Rhinolophus ferrumequinum: one gene and its partners. The protein of the gene in region 1 interacts with the protein of each later gene in a pairwise test. Links are inferred from orthologs where the notes say so. Each region holds a gene or a part of one and is shown on either strand. Other genes may lie near its edges.

The links.
Region 2: the proteins of KXD1 (region 1) and LRRC45 interact in binary tests that used the Homo sapiens proteins (3 or more experiments, as listed by UniProt). The two-hybrid records come from large-scale screens. The link is inferred for Rhinolophus ferrumequinum from reciprocal best matches to the Homo sapiens genes KXD1 and LRRC45.
Region 3: the proteins of KXD1 (region 1) and MOB1A interact in binary tests that used the Homo sapiens proteins (3 or more experiments, as listed by UniProt). The two-hybrid records come from large-scale screens. The link is inferred for Rhinolophus ferrumequinum from reciprocal best matches to the Homo sapiens genes KXD1 and MOB1A.

The regions. Positions count from the first base shown.
Region 1 is NC_046301.1:51,278,752-51,286,533, reverse strand, and holds the start of KXD1 (kxDL motif-containing protein 1), read right to left. Parts: upstream 3,033-7,782; 5' UTR 2,910-3,032; intron 2,898-2,909; exon of another isoform or gene 2,875-2,897; intron 2,761-2,874; exon of another isoform or gene 2,231-2,760; intron 380-2,230; 5' UTR 359-379; coding exon 258-358; intron 1-257.
Region 2 is NC_046304.1:54,767,986-54,774,971, forward strand, and holds the start of LRRC45 (leucine-rich repeat-containing protein 45), read left to right. Parts: upstream 1-3,924; 5' UTR 3,925-4,412; coding exon 4,413-4,632; intron 4,633-4,951; coding exon 4,952-5,013; intron 5,014-5,369; coding exon 5,370-5,440; intron 5,441-5,729; coding exon 5,730-5,908; intron 5,909-6,075; coding exon 6,076-6,204; intron 6,205-6,986. Other genes in the region: CENPX (centromere protein X), read right to left, coding at 303-317, 431-519, 776-829, 1,005-1,056, 3,622-3,867. UniProt on the Homo sapiens protein: Component of the proteinaceous fiber-like linker between two centrioles, required for centrosome cohesion.
Region 3 is NC_046296.1:17,799,100-17,806,357, forward strand, and holds the start of MOB1A (MOB kinase activator 1A), read left to right. Parts: upstream 1-4,155; 5' UTR 4,156-4,392; coding exon 4,393-4,406; intron 4,407-7,258. UniProt on the Homo sapiens protein: Activator of LATS1/2 in the Hippo signaling pathway which plays a pivotal role in organ size control and tumor suppression by restricting proliferation and promoting apoptosis.

The DNA of each region.
Region 1 (7,782 bases):
TTGGGACAGGAGCTGATGCATCTCTACCCTCCCCCGCCCCCCCAAGCCTTCTGCAGCTGTGAAACCATCTCAAAGCCCTGCTTCCTATGCCAAGGGCTCGCCTCCAGGCCAGGAAGGAATTTACTTAGGAGCTGGCCAGCAAATTTGCTCATTTCCTTCATTTTATCACCAGTGAGGGGGCGGGCTGGGCAACAATGCTGGCTGGCAAGTGGATTCCTTCCCACGCCTGGAGCCCAGGCTGCTTGGCCACCACTCACATGTTCTTCTGGGCCAGGATGATGGCATTGACGTCATCCACATTCACCATGCTCAGGATGCGGCTGCAGAAGACCCTCGAGGCCGAGGCCGGGGGGTCCATGTCTTCCTCCTCCGCCGCTGCCTGAAACGGGAAGAAAATCTGCAGTCTGCACCAGGCACATGGGTGGGTGGGGGGTTGGACAGGAGGGGCCGGGAACCCCACAGGCTGCCTGGAAGTGGGTCGGTCATGCCACCTCAGCCTCAGCTTTGTCATCCCAGGAATTCAGGGGTATTTCGAGAACTCCAGAAGGTCACATTTATAACTTGCACCCCAGCACATCGGAATCCCATCTCCCCTCCCCAGCACCCATTCTTCATATGCCCAGGGCCACTGGCACCGTCCACCTGCACAGATCTAGCTGCCCACCTCCTCCCACACCCCCTTGCCTTTGCCCATTCCCAGCTCAGAGCCTACTGTCCCCCCGGCGGAACATGCACCACTGTGCCGTCGGATCACCCTCACCTCGTGAGATCCGTGAGGACTATCCCTACCTTGGTCGTTCTCATCACCTTGTTTTAGTTGCTTCCCTGGCTCACCTCTGCCTGAAATTCCCTTAGTTAACAGTTGACCTGTTTGCCTGTCACCCCCACAGCACTGCCAGCTCCAAAAGAGTACAGGCATGTGTCTCCCTCGCTCACTGCTGTCTCCAGAGCCCAGCCCAGAACCTGGCTCACAGCAAGGAATCACCAGAACTTCCTTTGTCAGAGGCAAACAGGACTTTCAAACTCAGCTGTAATGCTGAACTTTTAACAGCAAATAAAGCCAAGAATTTCAGGCACTTGCAGCCAGTCTGTGGACCTCAGCAACCCAGAGAGCTGTGGGGCTCTCAGCTTCCCTAGCATGTAGATGACCGTCCCAGTGGGTTGGGCTTCCTGGATCAGGCCAGGGCAAGAAAGGCCACAGCTTTAGCGCTGACCCTACTGGTGGGGAGCTTCAGGAAAAACCCAGAATCCTGACATAGCTTGGTTCTGGAGCCCACATATTTAATGGCCGACAGAAAGGCCCACTTGCCATTGGTTAAGATTCACACACAGGATCAGTAAGGGCTTTCAGAGCCCACTTAATCCACCCTCCTCTTTATTTAGCACCTACTGTAAGCTAAACAAGGTACCAACTTTATACATAGGAACTGTTACCCTTATTTGTATGTGAGAAAACAAGCTCAGAGACTGAGGCACTGAGCTATCGTCACGTAGCCAGTGAACCTGAGTCACAAATATCCACGGTCCGCAGGATCCACAAAGGTGTGACCCTGTACAGATGTTCAGTATCCACCCATGATAGCACAGCTGCTTCTTACAGCAGCTGCTTCCTGCCAGACTTCTGATTGCTTCCAGGAAAAATACCCAGAAATGTGCATCCCCCCCTCCCCCGTGAAATCACCTCATTTGCAAATTTTAGCAAATAACCCTCTTTTCCCCCAAACACCATGGGGCCAAGAGTATTTATGCCATGAATTTGGCTTAGTGCTTTGCAGCCCCTACATGCCTTCTGGAAATAAGCTGCCACACCTGGTGAAATCCTCTCGCCCTGCCAATTAGTACTATTTTTTGAGCTCCTATGTGCCAGGTACAGACATTCACAGTCTCCACATTTCCAAAAAAGTGTGATCACGTATAAAGAGGCTACTTGGGCTCAAAGGGCAGTCCCTTGGTGGGAAGCCCACAACTAAAGCCTGGCAGGCACAAGATTTGGACCTGCAGGAAACGGTTCTGCTTCAAAGTTGGGTTCTTTCCTGTCTCTGGCTCCCATATGTGAGATTCAAGGCACATCCTTCCACTGCCAGCTCCTTCTCTGAGGAAAGCCTTCCCTAACAGCTATTGTGGACCACGTAAGGGTGGAAATAACCCAGCAAGCGCTCTGGTATCTGTTCTTTTTATGAGGGAAACACGCTGAGAGGGAGGCTGTGTGACTTTGGGAGAGTCACCTCACCTTTCTGAACCAGTTTTCTCATCCAGAAAATGGGAATAACAATCTCACAGTCCTGTTTGTGGGGACTGAAACCAACGGTGATAAGCTTAATTCCGAGCAGGCTGTTTCTCCAAGGTGAGTGTTGAAGACGTTTTAAGTTGGGGCGCGGGAATCAGCATTTTGACGAGACCCTCTAAGGTGTTTCCAAGAACATGAGCAAATTTAATCCCCAACCACGCCTATGAGGCAAACACTCTCATCTCGGAGGAGAACTAAGGCTCACAGGGGCCGGCTCAATTGCCCAAGGTAAAACGGCCAGGCGGAGAGGCAACGCGATTCCACCCAGGGCATTTAACAATTCAATTTGGTGGCCCAAGCTTAGCAAAACCCTGGAGTGGGAGCGAGGTTCGCATATCCCCTCACACCCCGCCCCTGCCAAGCGCAGAAACTGAAGCCCAACCAGGGCAACGCCCGGTTCTAGGTGACACAGGCGGCCCCAACTCCCGCACCCTGGACCTGGATCAACTGAGCAGACAGGGAAACTGAGGCCTGTGCGCAGGAGGGGTGCCCAGATGTGGCCAAAAGCGCGCCCCACCCCACGACAGCCCCAGGGCCGCGCTCGAACCGGCCCGGCTCCCCGGCGGCCCCGGCAGCCCCAGCCCCACCCCAAACTCGGCCCCGGCGTCGGCGGCAGCGGCACCTGCACATCTGGCGGCCTTGCTCGCGCTTCCGGGATGGCGCCCGCGCCGCCCTGATGTCACCACGCACCATGCGCACGTGGCGGCGACGTGCCCAGGGCCGATTTGCGTGCGTGGAGGCGCGGCAGGAAGGGGGAGGGTTTAGTCTCTTCGCTTGTGCGTCACAACACAAAGCCAATCAAGCAGTCACTCTCTCGCCTACGTCGCTTCCAAAGCCCGAGCTTTCCAGGCTGGGAATCAAATTCACCGGGTTCAGGAATCCGTGTTCTGCTGTTGCTGACTTTTTTCTGGTCCATTACCATCCAGGATCCCACGTTGCATTTAATTACATCTCCTTAGCCTCCTCCACTCTGTGACAGTTCCTCAGTCTTTTCCTACTCTTTCATGACCTTAATACTTCTGAAGATTTCTGGTTTTGTAGAAAACCCATCAATATGGGTTTAATCCAGTGTTTCCTCCGGATTAGACTGCAGTTAAGGAATTTGGGCAGGAATCCCATAGAAGCGATGCTGTGTCCTCAATGCGTTATATTGAGGCATGCGATGTTGACTGACGACTTGCTTAAGACAGCGTCTTGACGGTTTCTCAACTACGAAGTCACTGTTTTCACCTTTCTAATTAATAAGTATCTTATGGGGAGCTACTTAAGAGACAATGCAAATACTTTTTTTTTTTTAACATTTTAAAAAGCAGTTGACACCCACAAGTTTTAGCATCCATTCATGGCTCTTGTCAACAATTTTTACTTTTTTCTATTTATTAATTTAATTATTAATTGGAATTTATGCTAAACAAGAGCTGTCCACTCTCCAATTATGTATTTATTCACATTTATATTGCTCTGAACTCATGAGAATTTTATTCTGTTATTTATCTTGCTGCCCCTTTAAGTGAATCACCTACGTTCTTTAATATGTCTTCCATCTTTCTCTAAGAAAGTAAGAAAGTAAGTACTTTCTTACTTTTGGCACAAGATTTTCCATGTTTGCTTTGGCATATCCTTGGAATCAGCAGTTTCTCCAAGGACACTGGTTCCTGTTCTTGGAGAATGGTATTTAAAAACCAAGGTCTGGGTGCTGGGTGTGCTCATTGCTTAACCACGCTCTCAGCTGTCAGAGTTAGCAAATACATAGTATGTCTACTAACCTATGCATACACACATCTATATTTACTCCTACATCTGTCACCTTGGCTATATACTGAAAACCATAAACAAAACGGGGCAATTACAAAATAGTAATTGCTTAATAAATATTAGCAATTCATTATCATTAGTTATGGAGGTCTTATAATGTGTGTATGTTATACGTCTAATTTTTCTGGGTCTCAGTTTGTTAACTGTGAGCCTGGGTGATCACCACAGTTGCCTTTTAAGGTTCTTGAAAGCTTGGGAGATAAACACATACCATGCTCTGGGGCACATGAAAGACTCTTTAAGAGCTCTGGAATTGGATATATCTGAGTTCTAATTCCAGTTCTGTCACATCTTAGCTGGATGGCTTTGGGCAAGTGGCTTAACCTTATGAAATCAGGCAGGTGAGTTCTTTACACGTCTTGGCCCACTGTAAGCCCTTGGTAAACTGTATTATTACCCGCATGTTTTGCTGCCTTAATTCACTGAAAAGTTAATACAGACCAGGACTCTTAAACACTTAGTTCAAAAGTCTAAAAAACTTGTCAGTAACCCTCTAGCCACCCCCTCTGGATTTGGCCCATATTCTGGGAATCCAGAGAGTACTCAGTCCCTGCCTAGCCCTGAAGGATGGAGGGAGACAGAGTCTGACTCAGACACTCCCAACCCTGAGTGGAACACTGCTGGGTTAGAGGGAGGAGAGACTCAAAGCTGGAGGAACCTTAAGAGTGGGGGTATGAGAACTCCTTTTAAGGGCAAAGAAGAAAGTATGTCTGGATGGGGTTTTGAGGTAGGATTAGGAGTTTTCTAGGTGCTGACTTTCATTCAAGGCTGAGGGAATCACAGGAGCAAAGACAGGGTGGTGGGAAAACATTTAGTCTGGACTTGATCTTTTTAAGAACTGTAGAGCTCAGTGAGCCAGGTAGCAGCCAGTGCTGAGAGGGGAGCACTGGTGGGGGCTGCTGGGGAAAGTGGAACCATGACTCTGTCTGCAGGCTGCAGCAGAAGAGGCCCAGGCTGAAGAAATCAAGCTTTTCAATGGGTCCCTTGGGCTCTGTTAGAGGCCAGGAAACATTTACGAGGGTCCCGGAAGAGGTGGGGGCTGCACATTGAGGCCAAAAGGGACTTGGCTGGCCCCAAATGTTTTGTGCACAGTGGAGTAGAGACAAGAAAAATATTTTCCTCCTTTGTGTGTTTGAGGGAGAGGGTGGGAAATGATGTGACTGCTCAGTTGCCCCAGTGATGGGGACATTGGTGGTGGGGGAGGCCTAAGTCTGGGCACTGGAAACCTTTCTCTGCCACTTTTTCCAATTTTATTTCTTACATAGCATTCATCATAGCTGCAGTTAGATACTTATCTGCATTATTGTTTATGCAGTATCCAGCTCCCTGGCTGGAATAGAAGCTCAATGGGGTAAGATACCAGGCCCACTGTGCCCTTCATCACTGTGACCTTGAACAAGTTAATTAACTTCTCTGTGCCTCAATTTCCCCATCTGCAGAATAAGGATAATAAGAGTCTTACCAAAATACATACATCGAATTCTAAAGAAGGCAAGAGAGAGAAAAGGAGCATAGAGAAGGTATTACAGAGAAAAAACACGAGAGGGCAGATTTAAGTCCAAATATGTGTGTAATTACATTAAATGTGGAGACCAAATGCCCCAATTAAAAGATAAAGATGGGCAGGATGGATCAAAAAACAAAACCTGATTCTATTCTGCTTACAAGAGGCACATATACAACATAAGGGTACCGAAAGGTGGAAGATAAGGGGTGGAAAAGAATGGAAACTTTAAAAGATAAACCAAGAGAATAGGTGTGCAATCTTAATATCAAAGTCCACTCAAAAGCCAGAAGCATGGAGATAAAGAGGGGCATGTCACAACAATCACAAGTTCTGTTCACCAGGAAGATGTAACGATTGCAACTCTGTACGTAGCCAATGATGTGGATTCCAAATATCAGAGTATTTGTCTCATAAGGCTGATGGGAGGATTAAATACACAGTTTTTGCCTACACCTGTGACACCGGAGTCTCAGCTGTCACCGTGTTTCCCTGAAAAGACCTAGCTGGACAATCAGCTCTAATGCGTCTTTTGGAGCAAAATTTAGTGTAAGATTCGGTCTTATTTTACTATAAGACCCAGTCTTATGTAATATAAGATATATAATATATAATACTATACTATACTATAATGTAATACTGGGTCTTACGTAATATTATATAAGACCGGAGCTTATATTAATTTTTGCTCCAAAAGACGCATTAGAACTGATGGTCCGGCTAGGTCTTATTTTCGGGGAAACACGATATTATTGTTATAATTGTTGATGTTATTAGTTTATATTTATTTTAGTTGTTTATGTATAGTATCTTTTATTACAATTCCTCTAGCCCATGAAAGAGGTAAGGCTGAATGGGTGCAGATAAAGACATTGAAGATCAGAGATGAACAGGTAATAGTCCAAGTCCCTCAGAACTGGGATTGACCCAGGGTTTGATATTCTTCCTAGGCAATTCCTCATATATCCTCACTGCTTTCCCATTTGTTTTGGCTGATGAGCCTGCTTCCTTCCTTCCACAATGATTTCCCCAAGTCCTCCCACCCTCCACCTTTTGTGCTCTGCACTGTGCAGGCCTCAGGACTGAAACAGTGAGAAACAACGGACCCGTTACAGACTTTGAGGGTCTCCTAGACTAGTGGGCAGAGGTAAGGCAAGTAATGGCACGGATAAAAGTCAGTGAGTTATGAAGTGGAGGTTCATGGGTCTAGGAACAGCCAATTGGGGCACCTGGCCTTGCCTTGGGGAGGTCTGGGAGGTCTTCCTGTAGGAGATGACCTCCGAGCACTGATCTAACAAGTTAGTTCCCTCCAAAAACTAGTTACCTCCTCCAGTGTTAGCTACCTCCAAAGCCAGTTTCATTCATTTATTCAATTATTAGTTCATTTACTGAACTCCCATAGGTGCTAGGCATCATTCAAGGAGGTGTGTGTGTGGGGAACAAATCAAGCAAAATTCCTTTTAGGTAGGAGCAGAGTTGGGAAGAAAGGAGAAGAAGCAAAAGAACAAACAAGATTATTCTGGATGGTGGTAACTGCTGGAAAAAAAATAGAGCCAGGGAAGAATAATTGCCCCTCCTTTCAAAACAAGATCCATAATAACCCATCTAATCGAGGCAGCCACCTTCTCCAGGGACCATGGGCACTTTATCACTCTCTGGCACAAGGTACAGGGAGGAGTAACTACCCCCAGCGGCCCTGCTCGCTCAGTAGCTCACCTAGCCATTATTGAGCTCCTCCTGTATGCGTCAGGCAAGTTCCCGGAGATTAGACAGACCACACAGGGGAGAAGGGGTACCGTGTGCCCTTAGGCGCCTCAGGTCCTCATCCATAACTAGCTAGGGCTTCAAGGTAGATTATCCAGCAGCTCCAGAGCCGCCCTGACCGTCAGGCCTGATCTCCTTAAAGAAATACCATTTAGTACTGTCCTCCCAACAGCCCCCAAGGGGAGAGTGCGTTGATTGGGGTGTTCATCCCCATTTCGCAGATGGGCAGGAAAAAGCTTACACGGGAGCGGTGAGTCGCACCAGCGGTGAGGCGCTGACTCGTAAACAGACTGATCCAGGGACACCTCCACCCCGCCCCCGCCCCCGCCCCCGCTCCGGTAGAGCAGCAGCCTCTACCCCTTTAAGAACACCCCGCGGATACAAGCAGGAAGGGGGCGGTGCCTGCGCTGGA
Region 2 (6,986 bases), on another chromosome or scaffold:
GTGGAAGACAGCCCCCACTTCTCCCTTGGCACGTGCTTCCCAGGGCTCCTACCCCAACACGGTGCTCACCATGGGCTGGCCCCCCCACAGTGACCTCTGCTACAGTCAGGCTGTCGTGGGCAGAGAGGAGGATGTGAGGGAAAGGGGTGCGTTTGCTGAGACTGGCTCAGTTTCAGGGCTGTAGGAGAGTCAGGGATCAGCAGCCTCTTCCCTGTCTGAAGCCAGAGGCCACAGGAGACACGTGGACATGGGGCTGGGCCATGATGCAGGCAGGCAGTCGGCTGGAGTGAGGGTGGAAACCCCTAGAAGTCCAGAAGCTGTGGGGGACAGGAGCACTCAGCCTCACAGGTGCCAGCCATGGCCAAGCCCTGCTCCTGGGAGGGTGGCACAGGGACAGACCCATGAAATCGCCCCTCCCCTGCCCACCTACCAGCTGAGGCAGCACCTTCTCCAGCTGTTCCACATCCACACGGGCCAGGTCCTCTGCCTGGGCCTGCCGGACACTGCGGATGGCCGCTTCTGCAGTGAAAAGAGAAGCAAGAGGTGCAGAAGGCTGGGGGGCTTGAACCCCAATGCCCCTGGGCCTCAGCCCCAGCTGCCTCCCTGCCCCTGCTGGCTGGCAGCTCAGGAGTCCAAGGTTGTGGCCCCTGAAACATGGAGCTTTCCAGGGACACAGAGCCTAAAGGGTAATGTGGGAAAATGCGTCACTTGGTTTCTCCACTGGAAAATGCAGACGGGACGAGCAGTCTGGGCAAGGTGGGGTCCTTCAGCTCACCCGAGACGAAGATCTTCAACAACTCTGCCATGAGCAGCAGTGCATCTCCGCCAACTGCAAGGTGGAGAGGCGCAGGTCACAGGGCTGCACCCTGCTGTCAACCTGCCCAGGGGCTGCAGGCTCCCCCACACCCCCACTTCTGACCTGGGTCCTCCTCGTCCCCGGTGGCCCACACAGAGCTGGCAGCCCCACCCCGAGCCCCGCTTCCAGCATCCCCATACTTACACACCTTTGGTTTTGTCATCTTTAAAATGCAGGTGCAGCAGTTTGCTCACAAGTTCCTGGGGGGACCAGCGGGATGTCAGTGGCTCACTGCCCCCCCCCAAATGCTGCAGACCCCTTAGGCTTTTCGTTCCGGGTGGGAAGGGGTTGTAATTTGTGGCCTGAAATGCCCTGTCCTCTGGGTGGGGGACTGGACGGTGGGAGAAACCTCCCTGTGGATGCCTCCAGGACCAGAAATTAGACACATGTGGCAGGCAGGTGGGAGCAGCCCAGGTGCCAGCCTGTCCCTCTCCTGGAATCCAGGAGAGAGTGGTGTTCCCTCCCCGGGGCCAAAGCACTCCCTGTGAGGGGCAGGAGGTGGCTGTTCCCATGCTGGGCCCCTCCACAGGTCTGTCCATGCCCAACACCATACAGCTTGCGCCAGACCTGGTTCAGGTGCCGGGTCAGTTCCATCTGCAGTCCCTCCCTGGAGAGGTGAAGGAAGGAGTCTTCCTATGAGATGAGTGCTCTGGGGACCACAGCACTGGGCAGAGACCTGGCTGTTTGGTCAGTGGGCGGTGGGCATGGAGAACAGAGCCCGGGGGGATCTGCAGGGCTTCCTGACAGACATGAATAGGACATGGGCAGGTCCAGGCCAAGACTCCACAAGGCAGGGGCTTGAGTCCCCAAAAGATGGGGCCACTCCACAAACATGGGGGCTGTGGGTGGAGATGGGTTCTGGGGACCAGGGACTCCGGAGCTCAACTTAGGACACGTGTGAGTGAAGGACATGCTTCAGATGCCCAAGCAAAGCAGCCCGGTGGGTGGCTGGAGCCGAGGGGCCTTCCAGAAGGTTGGAGCTGACGACGAAGATTTGGGAGGTGGCAGCATGTGGATGGACCATGAAAGGCTTCCCAGGGCAGGAGCCAGCAGAGCGCCTGGGGAGGCAGGAGGACAGCAGCAGCGGCGACCAGGAGCTCAGAAACAAAATGGACTGTTCTGCAGGGAAGGTGAGCTGGGGATTGGCCAGGCCTCCCCGTAGCCACGGGAGGTCACACGGCTTCGCCTGTGCAGCTGAGCAAAGCTCAGGAGCAGAGTGGAGTGGACACCGGTGTGGCCCAGGCTCAGAAGGATAAACTTACCACGTCACTAGGGGAAGACACAGGCCTGGCCGTCCCAGCAGTGGCTGCGTGAGCTTGGTGCCACCTGCTGGTCCTTCTTGCCACTTACCAGGAATGGCTCAGAAGGCTCTACTGCCCCACCTGCTCCCAGACTCCCAGGAAGCGCTAACTAAAGGGGTCAGTACCAACTGGGAGTGGCAATTTCCAAACAAACAAGTGACATGAACTCAGCAGGATGGGAACTGGGATGAGTTCAGCTTCTGTCCCACTGCACGTTGGCACCACTGCCCCTCCCTCCATCACCCTCATCCACAATGAGCACAGCTCTGGCCAGAGCCTGTGGCGCCAGGACTGCAGAGCTGTCCACGTCGGCCTGATGAAGGCCAAGCCCTGTGCTCCCCTCTCCAGCTGTTACAAGGTGTGTGTGTGTGTGGGGGGGAGGTGTCTCACAGCCACCATGGTGGATCACCCAGCCTCAATGACATCCCCTTTTAGGTGATTAACCCCTTCTGGGCCAGGGCTGAGCCACGATCCTGGGTGATAAAGAGGGGACTGAGGCAGCAGGTGAACCCGAAAGCAGTCCCCATGCCTCTGCAAGGCTGAAGTCCCCACTGGGGTCAGGAGGGACACAGGTGCTGAGAGCCTCCTTCCCTCCCCAGCTCACAAAGGTCCACAGGCCCTCCGCGCACACCTTCCTGATTCAAGGACTCAGTGCCACCTACCTTTAGGATAGAGCAACAAAGCCAGATTCATAAACTAGTCGCAGCCTCAGGCGTGGGAGCCAGTGGACATGCTACGCACCCAGTGCGGCACTCCCCACAGGCCTGCTTCGTTTCTCCCCGGGTAAGTGGGGATAGTACTACCTTCTCCTAGGGGTGGTAAGCGTTAAATGGGCTAATCTATGTCAGTGCACGTAACAGTGCATGACTGCGCCAGGGTGTTACTAAAAGGACTTGTAGCCCCCTCCCCCCCCACGCCAGACCGAACCTAGATAAACGTGCTGCCCCGAAACGCAGCTTCAGCTGGGCTTTAACTTGGCTCAGGTGAGACACACAGCACAGGGCTCGAGTGACGGGGCAGACCAAAGGAAGCTTTAGGCTATGCGGGTATGTGGCAGTGTCAGCGCGCTGGGCGGAACGGTGCCCTACGCCAAGCGGTTTAGGGAAAAGAAAAGCCCCGCCGGATCCGCGGCAGCGGGGCGTGGCCGGCAGGCTCAGGCTCCTCTCTGAGGTCCCCTGCATTTCCGCCGTCGCGGCGCCCACCTCTGCCCGCCCAGTTTCTGCAGACCCGCTCCCTCTTGCCCCAGACCACTCGACCTTCTGCCACCGGGCCGCGGGACTCCACCCCGGAGGGCGAAGGACGCGCGGGGTGGGGTCGTGGCTGGATTCTGGGAATGGGCTCGCCCTAGAAGGCACTCGCACGCAGCGCCGGGGCTGGCCCAAGGCCTACACGTGTGTCACGCGTGGGGTCCCGCCGCAGTGTCCCCACCACCATCATCCGCCCCCGCATCGTCCCCTTTCTCACTTTCCGGAAGCCAGAGCTGGTTGCCTCCATGACCCGCGCCGCGTCGCGCGCCCTCCGCAGCCCCGGTCCCCCGCCAATGAGCCCTGAGCGCGCCTTTCCAGCCCCGCCCCCGATCCTCCAGCCAATCACCCCGGAGCGCGCCCTCCGAAGCCCCACCCCTATTCCCCCCATCCAATGGGCCGTGAGAGCGCTGCCTTGGCTCCACCGGCTGGAGGCCCGCAACGCGTGCCCGTTCCTCGCCCTCATTAGCCCGCGGCGAGCGCCCCTCCTCCGCAAAGTCTCCTGGGAGTTGTAGTTTCTGCCAGCCTTTCCCGGCGTTCCCTGCTCTTCCTGGTTACTGAGGCGCCGCGGCGGGCACCGCCGCCGGGAGCAGGGGCCGGTGGCGCGACTACTGGGGGCGCGAGGGTACGCGCGATGCCTGGACCGGCCCCGTCGCGGGAGGCCCTAGCCCCGAGGGATCTCCGTTCCCGCGTCGGCCCCATGCTCGGGCGGTCCTCTGGCCATCCTTGCACTCCTGGGGCCGCCCGCGTGTAGAAACAACTCAGTTTGTTCTTCGTTCCTCGGCTGCCGAGGTCGGACCTGGGGTCGTTGAGCCCCACATTGAGCTGCTCGGAGTCCCTGTCTGCCCCCAGGGGAGAAGCCCTGCCCTACTGCCAGCAGGAGAGCAGTCCCGCAGCGGGGCCAGCAGTCCCCTTCCCCCAGCTTCGGCTTCCCGCGTCGCTGGCTGCTGCCACACGGTGAGGTCTGGCTCTAGGAGCGTGCTGAGGCAGCCCTGCTGGCACCCCAGGGACATGGAGGAAATCCGGCGCTCCTACAGCCGGCTGTGCAAGGAGAGTGGGGCCGAGCCCCAGGAGACTGTCCTTCAGCGCCTGCACGAGGTGCCGCGGGGCCGGCTGGACCTGGCCACGCAGAGCCTGACAGCTGACACCTGCGGGGCCCTGGGCAAGCTGCTGCAGAAGGAGGCTTTTGTGACTGAGCTCGTCCTGAGCGACTGCATGCTGAGCGAAGAAGGTGGGCACCATGGGCGGCTGGGGCCGGGCAGCCCTGGCAACCTCATAGCCGGCTTGGGTTCAAGCCCTTTGCCTCAGGGCAGCCTTCCCTGGCTTTGTCTGCCCCCTGCTCCACTGCTGCACCATTGCATCTACCTCTTTGGGCGGACTCCCCCCTCCCCCTTGTGCTCTATAGTTAAGGCAAGCAGCAGGGTCCCTTGAAACCTGGGAGCAGAGAGCAGTTTCTCTTTGTAAAAGAGAAGCCTTAGCATCCCGCCTTAGGAGAGTCACAGTGTGCTCTGGCCACCAGGGACAGAGAGTGACTGCTCTGCCCCTCACAGGGGCCATACTGCTGCTCCAGGGGCTGTGCGCCAACACTGTCCTTCAGTTTCTGGATCTAAAGGTGAGGTGACTGCCTTTGGACATGCCACCTGAGGGGAGGGAGGCCATGGGGTGTGGGCAGTGGCCAGAGACACCGTTTGTAAGTACTGTTGGCACACAGGGTTCCGTGCCGTTTCCTGGTGGTCTCGTGAATGTGTGGGGGTTTGGAGGGTGGGAATATGAGTTCCAGAGTGTCCCCGTAAGCACACTGACCGAGCCCACAGCAGGAGTGCAGTCAGGGAAGGAAGCGTCTGAAAGGAGCCAGACCTTCTGGCCAGAGTTTATGCTTGGCCTCAACCCCGCCTGCAGGGCCTGTCGGAGTACACGCGCCCGAGCCTGGCCAGGACAATGTGCCTGCTCTGTCTCTTCCTGTCCTAGGGCAATAACCTCAGGGCTGCAGGGGCCGAGGCTCTAGGAAGACTCCTCCGACAGAACAAGTCCATTCAGAGGTAAGGTGGCGTTGGCCCCACCCGCCCCCAAACCCCTCTTTCTCTGCAGGTTCAGGCTTGGCCCCAGAGGACAGGGTTCTGCAACCCAAGAGTTCATTCCTTCACTCCTTCCGGCCAGTTGTCTGTTTCCCATCTGTCCATCTGCAGGGAGTGGACGGGTACAAGATACTCACGGGACTCAAGGCTTCCTGCCGGAGACCCCAGGCCTGCGTCCCTCCTCAAGCCCCCTGGACCCTGTGGGAGCAGGGCACTCCTGGGGCCACGCAGCTCATGTCCACCCTTCCCACAGCCTCACCCTGGAGTGGAACAACTTGGGCACGTGGGAAGATGCCTTCGCCACCTTCTGCGGCGCCCTGGCGGCCAACAGCACCCTGCGGCAGCTGGACCTACGCAACAACCAGATTAGTCACAAGGGTGCAGAGGAACTGGCCCTGGCCCTGAAGAGCAACACCAGCCTCCAGCAGCTGGGTGAGGCCCGGCAGACCACTGTCTGGCTTCCCAAAGCAAGGGGTGGCGAAGCGGGTGGGGAGAACCAGGCTGGCTCCTGCTCTTTGGGCGATTCCCCCAGGGAAGCTTTTGGGCTGGGCCCGCACCCCAGGTGCCTTCCGTCTGGTGATAACAGGTATCTCTTCCAGACTTGCGCTGGAATAACATCGGCCTCCTGGGTGGCCGTGCCCTGGTGAGCTCTCTGCCGAGCAACAGAACCCTGTGGAGGCTGGAGCTGGCTGGGAACAACGTCCCCAGTGATGTCCTCAGAGCCGTGGGTAGGGGCATGCATAAAGCCGGAGGCCCAGGCTCCAGGGGGCATGCAGACGCATCCTGAAGGCAGCCTAAATTAGAAACAGAGGAAGAGGGAGGGTGAGAGCTCGCAGAAGGAGAGGTGGCAGCGGGCTGGCACGGCACTCACTGTCTGTTCTTAAATCCACCAAGGTGGGGTGGGGCAGGGTCACCCATTTCACAGATGAGGAAGCTGAGGCAATGTGGCTTGGGGCCTTGCCCTGATGGCTGTGCTGCTGCCTCAAGTGGCATCTGCCCTCATCACACTTGAGTTTGTGGCTGTGCCCAAGAGCCATGTGGGAATGGGGCCACCAGGTCCAGGCCACAGCCTGCACGGTCCCCTCCTGTCCATGACCTGGACACCTCAACCCCAGTCCCAGCAAAACACTCTGCCACTCCCTGTGGTTCCTCATCCTGCCCACAGCACCAGCGACCCAAGGGCCCAAGCTTTGGCTGGAATTCTGCGCAGGTCACCACCTCCCTTTGGGTCTACCCGACCTGTGTCATCTCCAGCTTCTCCATTCTTGGCCTACCTCTGGGTCACCCCCGCTGTTGTAATAGTGTGACTCCACAGCAGCCTCTGGCTGGTCCCTCTCCAAATGCTGCCTGTTAAAAGTCATACAGCCACCTTTGACCTTTGGGAGGGAGCCCAAGTGCTCCTCTCCATGTGCATGCCCCCTGCACCTGGTGCCTCCCAGGTTCCTGGCCCCACTGTCGCCCCCACCCCACCGCCACTGAAGGCTTTCATCCCTAGTGCACTAGGGGTCTA
Region 3 (7,258 bases), on another chromosome or scaffold:
TAGGCAAAAATCCAATCGCATTCATTTAGCAAATATTTGCTGAGTATCTACTCTGATATAAGGCCCACAAGAGGCACATGTAAAATACAAGTAAATAGGGATTTACTTTCCAAAAGTTGGTCATCTGATAGAGGTGATAAGACATGTCAAAATTTCTTCCTATTAAATACCAAATGTTGATTTAGAGTATATATGTTCCAAGAACTGTCTAAGTGAATTCTATACCTTAAATCATTTAATTCTCACAACCCTATGAGATTGCCCCCCCCATTTTACAGATGAGAAAACTGAGACAAAAGGTTATAAAAATAATCAAGGTCATATGGTTATTAAGTAGCAGTGGCAGGGTTCAAACCCAGACCATCACCTCCAAAATATAAGCTTTTTAGTCACTATTCTATCTTGATTCTCTTAAAATAAAATAAAAAGTAAAAAATAATATAAGTATGTGTTTACTAGAGAAAAAATGGAATTTTCAGAAAAGCAAGAGAACATAAATCCTGAAATTCCGACTCCCTAACACAAGAGCTATTTAATATGAAAATACTACTTTCTAAAAACTTGAATTGTGATTGTACTGGGGGTGACAAAAAAATGTATACAAGTGGACACTTTGGTCAATGTTGCTCAAGCAGTAGTTCGCCATAATCAGAAGTGTCTGGATGCTGATGGTAACCACTTTGAGCACCTCTTGTAATTGCAGAAGTCAAACGTGGCTTGTATTCACCTTTTGTTATCAGTATATATTGAGTATTACAATGTTAATAGTTTTTTTCCTTTCTTAAAATGTGTATACATTTTTTTGGTACCCTCTGTATGTTGTAAGAAGGATATAAAGGTCTATAGAGGAAGGAAAGAGGATTTCTGGCTGGATCTTAAAGGACAGGGTGTGATGAGGATGTTGGGTCATTCCAGCCAGAAAGAATTTCAAGAACAGGAGCAATGATTCAAGGAGGTCCAGGGTTTATTATGGAAATAGGAAGGAGTTGTTTGGCTGGAGCACAGCCTTGAGCAATGAAGCTAGAAAACCAGAAAACTAAAGGCCAAGTCAGAAAGAGCACTGAGTCACTTTGTCTTTCATCTTATCAGCACTGGTAATACTGCACTGATTACCACTTTTCTCTCTCTCTCTCTCTTTTATTGGGGAAGGGGAACAGTGTGTTTTTTCCAGGACTTTGTTGGGCAACAGTGTGTTTTCCCCAGGACCCATCAGCTCCAAGTCAAGTTGTCCTTCAATCTAGTTGTGGAGGGCACAGCTCAGCTCCAAGTCCAGTCGCCATCTTCAATCTAGTTGGGGTGGGAGGGGCCAGCCCACCATCCCATGCTGAAGTCGAACCGGTAACCCTGTTGCTCAGAGCTTGCAATCTAACCAACTGAGCCATCCGGCCACGCCGGATTACCACTTATTTCTGTATCAATCTCCTCTATTAGACTGGGATTTCCAGTCTACATGTCCATTCATTCAATGAGTAGTTTCTGTGTACCAAGCACTGTGCTGAGCATTAGATTAAATGAACAATCTATATCTCTGCCACTAAAGGAATTCACAATCTAGTGGGAAGAAAATGTAAGATAGTTCTGATGGAAATATGAACAGTGTGGGTTTTTGTCACTTGCTACCAAAAACACCTAGCTAAAGCAGACTATTACCAACAAATCTGGCCATGGTCTCCCTTTCTATATGTCCACACTCCCACCATATAGAAGCCAGATCATAGGGAGAAAACAAAAGAGGTTCTTAAAAAAATAAAATCACTGTTATCAAATGAGGACTCTGTTAGGATCGACCAGATACAACTAAGTGGTGGGGGCCGGCCCGGTGGCTCAGGCGGTTAAAGCTCCATGCTCCTAACTCCGAAGGCCGCCGGTTTGATTCCCACAAGGGCCAGTGGGCTCTCAAACACAAGGTTGCCAGTTTGATTCCTCGAGTCCCGCAAGGGATGGTGGGCAGTGCCCCTGCAACTAAGATTGAACACAGCACCTTGAGCTGAGCTGCCACTGAGCTCCCGGATGGCTCAGTTGGTTAGAGCGTGTCCTCTCAACCACAGGGTTGCCAGTTTGATTCCTCAAGTCCCACAAGGGATGGTGGGCTGCGCCCTCTGCAACTAGTAATGGCAACTGGATCTGGAGCTGAGCTGCGCCCTCCACAACTAAGACTGAAAGGACAACAACTTGACTTGGAAAAAGTCCTGGAAGTACACACCGTTCCCCCAATAAAGTCCTGTTCCCCTTCCCCAATAAAATCTTCAAAAAAAAGAAAAGAAAAAACTAAGTGGCAAGTAAGACAATGACTGAAAAATGCCCATTGGATTTAGAAACTAAGACAGTGGAGATCTTGGTGAGAAAAGATTTTGTGGGAGGGTGGGCAGGGTGCAGAATCTGGATGATGGGTGCTGAGGAATAAAGGGATGGTGATGTCATGGAGACACTGAATAAAGACTGTTATTGTACCAGAACCCCTTTCTGAGTTGTTGGATGGTTCTTTGGGAGGGTCTGAGGTAACTTTAAAGTGAGATAAAAATAAATTTGTTTCAAATGGCCAATAAGCACATGAAAAGATTCTCAAAATCAACCAACAGGGAAATGCAAATCGAAATTACAATGAGATACCACTTCACACTCACTAGGGTGGCTGTAATAAAAAAGACAAATAGCAAACGTTATTGAGGTTGTGGAAACATTAGAACCCTCAGATATTTGCCAGTGGGAATATAAAATGGTGCAGCTGATTTGGAAAATAGTCTGACAGTTCCTCAAAAAGTTAAACATATAGTTACCATATGACTGTGGGGGAAGAAAAAATAATTTTCCTCCTACCTTTCTAAGTTCTTTTGGCAGGACTAATAATCGAATTAACATGAGACAGAGTAACAGAAGAAAATGACCAAATTTATTACGTATGTATATATATGAGGGCTCCCTAAGCATGTAGGACCAGAGTACAGATGGACACTTAAGGCTTATATACCATCTTGAGCTAAGGAGAAGAGAGGATTATAGTTGGGACTTCCAATGATATGAAGACAATTCACATGGAGATGAAAAAGCAAAAGTTTGGTAAATAAATGTTTCCTGGGTCATTTTAAACAATGGGACACAAAGAAAACTTTGATCAAAAGGCCTTGCTAGGTTCCTTCCTGTCTATCACACTTGATTCATATTAAATTATCGTTACGTATGATAATAGTTCCCATTTGGAGCAGGTTTTCTATCTAAATTCTTTTAGGCAATTAGGGGGAAGATTAAAGTTCTCTCAGAGTCTTTTATTTCTTGAAAATAACCAGCTTAAAATAGTATCCTAAACGGCATATTTTGGGGTGGTAACGTCTACTTCTCCTCATGACCAACCGGTACAGAAATATTCATAGCAGCATTATTCATAACAGGTAAAAAGTGGAAACAACAGAATGTCCATCAACAGATGAATGGATAAAATAAGGTATAATATATTCAAACAATGGAATATTACTCATCCATAAAGAGGCATGAAATACTGGTATATGCTACAATACAACATGGATGAATCTTGAAAACATCAAGTTAGGTGAAAGAAGCCAGTCACAAAAGACCATATATTGTACAGTTCCATTTATAGGAAACGGCCAGAGTAGGCAAATGCACATAAAAAGGTAGACCAGTTATTGCCAGGGGTTGGGAGGAGGGAGGAATGGCGAATGACTGCTAACGGGTACTGGTTTCTTTTGGGAGTGATGAAAATATTCTAGAATTAAAGAGTGGTGATGGTTGCACAACTCTGTGAACATACTAAAAAAACACAACACTGGAGCATTTTTTTAAAAGTGTGACCTCTATGCTATATGAAATATATGTCAATTTAAAATTACATTTTCACAATTGCAGCATTCATAGACGCTCCATGCTATCCAGGGAATGTAAACCAAAAGCAACAAATACAAGGCCAGCCACTCCCCCTCACAACCCGCACCCCACATACCCCCAAACCCCCATCCCCCCCACGCATACCCCCACCCCGTCCAGGGCCGCAACACTACCATCCCTGTGGGAGAAGCAAGGCCCGGATTGAGGGCTGTGACTGGGAGAGGTGATGACTGGGTGAGCTCTAAAAGAGGGCGGGGTGAAAAGGGGCGCGTCCAGTCCCTGTCGGCGAGGGGCGGGGCAGAGCGAAGCCTTCTCTCGCGAGATTATGCTGGTTCCGCATTTGAGATCTCTTAGGTGGGGGAGGCCGGCGAGGTGGGCGCAGCATCTTGCACCGGCTTATACCGGCTCGACCCCGGCTCGGAGCAGCAGAGGCCAGTGCTTCTGCTGTCGGCGGGCTGAGGACTGTGGGCTCCGTCCCGGTTTCCGCGCCGGCTCCGAATCCTGACCGCGGCGGGGGCCAGCGGCCCCTCCCGTCCCCTCTGAGGATAGAAGATGAGCTTCCTCTTGTGAGTGCGGCTCGGCTGAGGGGTCTAGACCTGAGTGCCGAGGGCGGGTAAGGGGGAAGAGCAGGGTCTGAGGCGAGGGCCGGACCCGGCGTGGCCGGCGCTTGCTTTGCCCCGGCTGGGGGCCACTGGGCAGGCCAGGACGTGGGCCGAGGCTGACGGTCGAGGCAAAGGAAGTGGAGCGAGAAGGCTGGGGAGCAGAAAGGCCCCGAAGCCGGTAGGGCCTCCAAACTTTTCCGCCTGAACGCCCCTGAGGTCGGAAGGACGATCTGGGGGCGGAGCCCCAGGCCCTACCGCAGGCTCCCCATTTCTCTAGGCTGGTGTCTTTTCTAGTAGCGATTCTTTGCTGACTTAGCTTTTTACTCCACCGTTTGTCCAGCTTTATTAACGTCAGTATTAAATGAACCCAGCGGGAAAATGCCGCCCCAGGAAAACGTGGAGTGCTGCAGTTTGAGAAGCATTGCTCTAACACCTTATTCTCAAGCGGCTCCCTCTACGTAGTATATTGCTTAAATATGTGTTGTATGGTTGGATAAATATCCATTTTAAAAAAGTTACGGACATCACCCACATACGTGACATTTTTATTAAACTTTATTAAGTTACATATTTTTTCATAACTAGAATTTATCTACATAGTTCCTTATTGTGAGAAATTTGGATTCTTTCGCTATTATAAAAGAGCACTACTGGAAATATCTTTGTCCAAATCGTTTATCCCCTCCTTTTGATTATTTTTTAAGGGTATAGGCTCCAAAGTATGTCAGAAAGTCTGTATGATTTAGATTTTAATTACAAATTTCTATATTACTACAGCAGTCCCCCAAGTCTTATGAGTTAATGTTTAGTTAGTGGTTTGTTTGTGGACGCACAGTTGCTTGGTTGCTCATTAGACCTAAATGTAAGGCTGTTTGTTTGTTTTAAACCTTGTTTTGTTGATGGACAGTTGAGTTTCCACTTTTGGCTTTTATGAATAATGATGCTATGAACTTTTGTGTACTACAGATTTTTGTATTGGATGTATGTGTTCGTTTCTATTAGCCATATACCTAGAAGTGGAATTGCTGAGTTACATGGTAACTATGTTTATTTAACCTTTTGAGGAACTGCCAAACTTTTTCAAATCACTGCACCATTTTGCATCCCACCGACACTGTTTGAGTTTCATTTTCCCAGCACCCTAGCTAGCATTTGTTAGTTGTCTTTTGGATTATAATCATCCTAGATGGTTGTGAAATGGTATCTCATTGTGATTTTAATTTACGGTTCCCTAACGACTGAGAAGGTTGAACAGCTTTGGGTGCTTATTGGCCATTTGTAAATTTTTTTTTGGAGTAATGTCTTCAAATCTTTTGACCATTTTTATTTTTAATTATAGTTGACAACCTTGGATCATTTTTAAATTGGGTTGTTTGTCTTTTTGTTTTTGAGTTGTAAGAATTCTTTATCCTGGATACAAGTCCCTTATAACATCTATGATTTGCAAATATATTTTCCTATTTTGTGGATTGTTTTCACTGTCTTTTTATTTATTTACTTTTTGGTTTTTCTTTTTTTGTTTTGTTTTCACTGTCTTGATAGTGCCATTTGAAGCACAAAATTCTTAATTTAGATGAAGATCATATTGAATCATAAGCCATCATTCTGTTAGTTTTCCATATGTAGCTTCCTGTCATTCACAGCTTTCTATTTGTGAAGGGTCATTCCTTCTAATTTAGTACTTCCCTATTAAATGTAGGTATTTAGCATGTTAAGAATTTTCCATGTTTGATTTTTACTGTTTTTGTTATTCCTTTTTACTTCTTAATCAGCCTTATTTAAAATTCAAATTACTCGGGTAAAGTGAAAGCCCACAGTTTTTGTTCCCTTACCCCTTCTTAGAAGTAATCACTGTATCTATTCTTTTTTTTTGTTTTAATTTTTTTAAATTTTTATTGGGGAATGTTGGGGAACTGTGTGTTTCTCCAGGGCCCATCAGCTTCCAGTCAAGTCGTTGTCCTTCAGTCTAGTTGTGGAGGGCGCAGGTCAGCTTCAAGTCCAGTCGCTGTTTTCGATCTTAGTTGCAGGGGACGCTCGCTGCCCACCATCCCATGCGGGAATTGCTCACCATCCAATGTGGGAATCGAACTGGCAACCTTGTAGTTAAGAGCTCACGCTCTAACCATCTGAGCCATCTGGCCGCCCCTAGGTGTATCGATTCTGACACTTGCAATGCATTTACAAAATGGGTTCTTGCTATACATTTGGATTTGTGTTTAACCATATCTTGAGATCTTTCCATGTGCATAGATGTAGTTCTATCTTGTTCTTGTATCTTGTTCTTAACTACTATATAGTACTCTATGATACAGATGTATCATGGACATATCATAGTTTTATTCATTCTTCTAATAAACCTTAGGATTGTTTCCAGGTTTTTTACCATTAAAAGCAATCTTGAAAAACGCATCCTTGTTTATATCTTAAGATACCTAGAAGTGGAAGGGACAGATTGAGGAGCATTTCAGTGTTAACATATACTGCCATATTGCCCTCCCCCAAACACCTAACACTTTCACCAATAGTGTATTAAAGTACGAATTTCTCTATAACACATTTAATTAGGTGGTTTTAATTTTTGACACTCAGATTAAGGAAAAATAAATCTTACTTTAATTAAACAGCCTTTCAGATGTTCGTTGCTCAATGTTATTTTTCCTTCTTAATTGCTTGTTCATCTCCTTAACCTGTTTTCCTAAAGGGTTCCTTACCTTTTTCTTAACAGATTATATTTTTATTATTCAGCCCATTGTTATCCAGTTTATTCTTTGTAATATGTGTTGCTAGTATTTTTTTTTTACTCTGTCTTCTTGCTC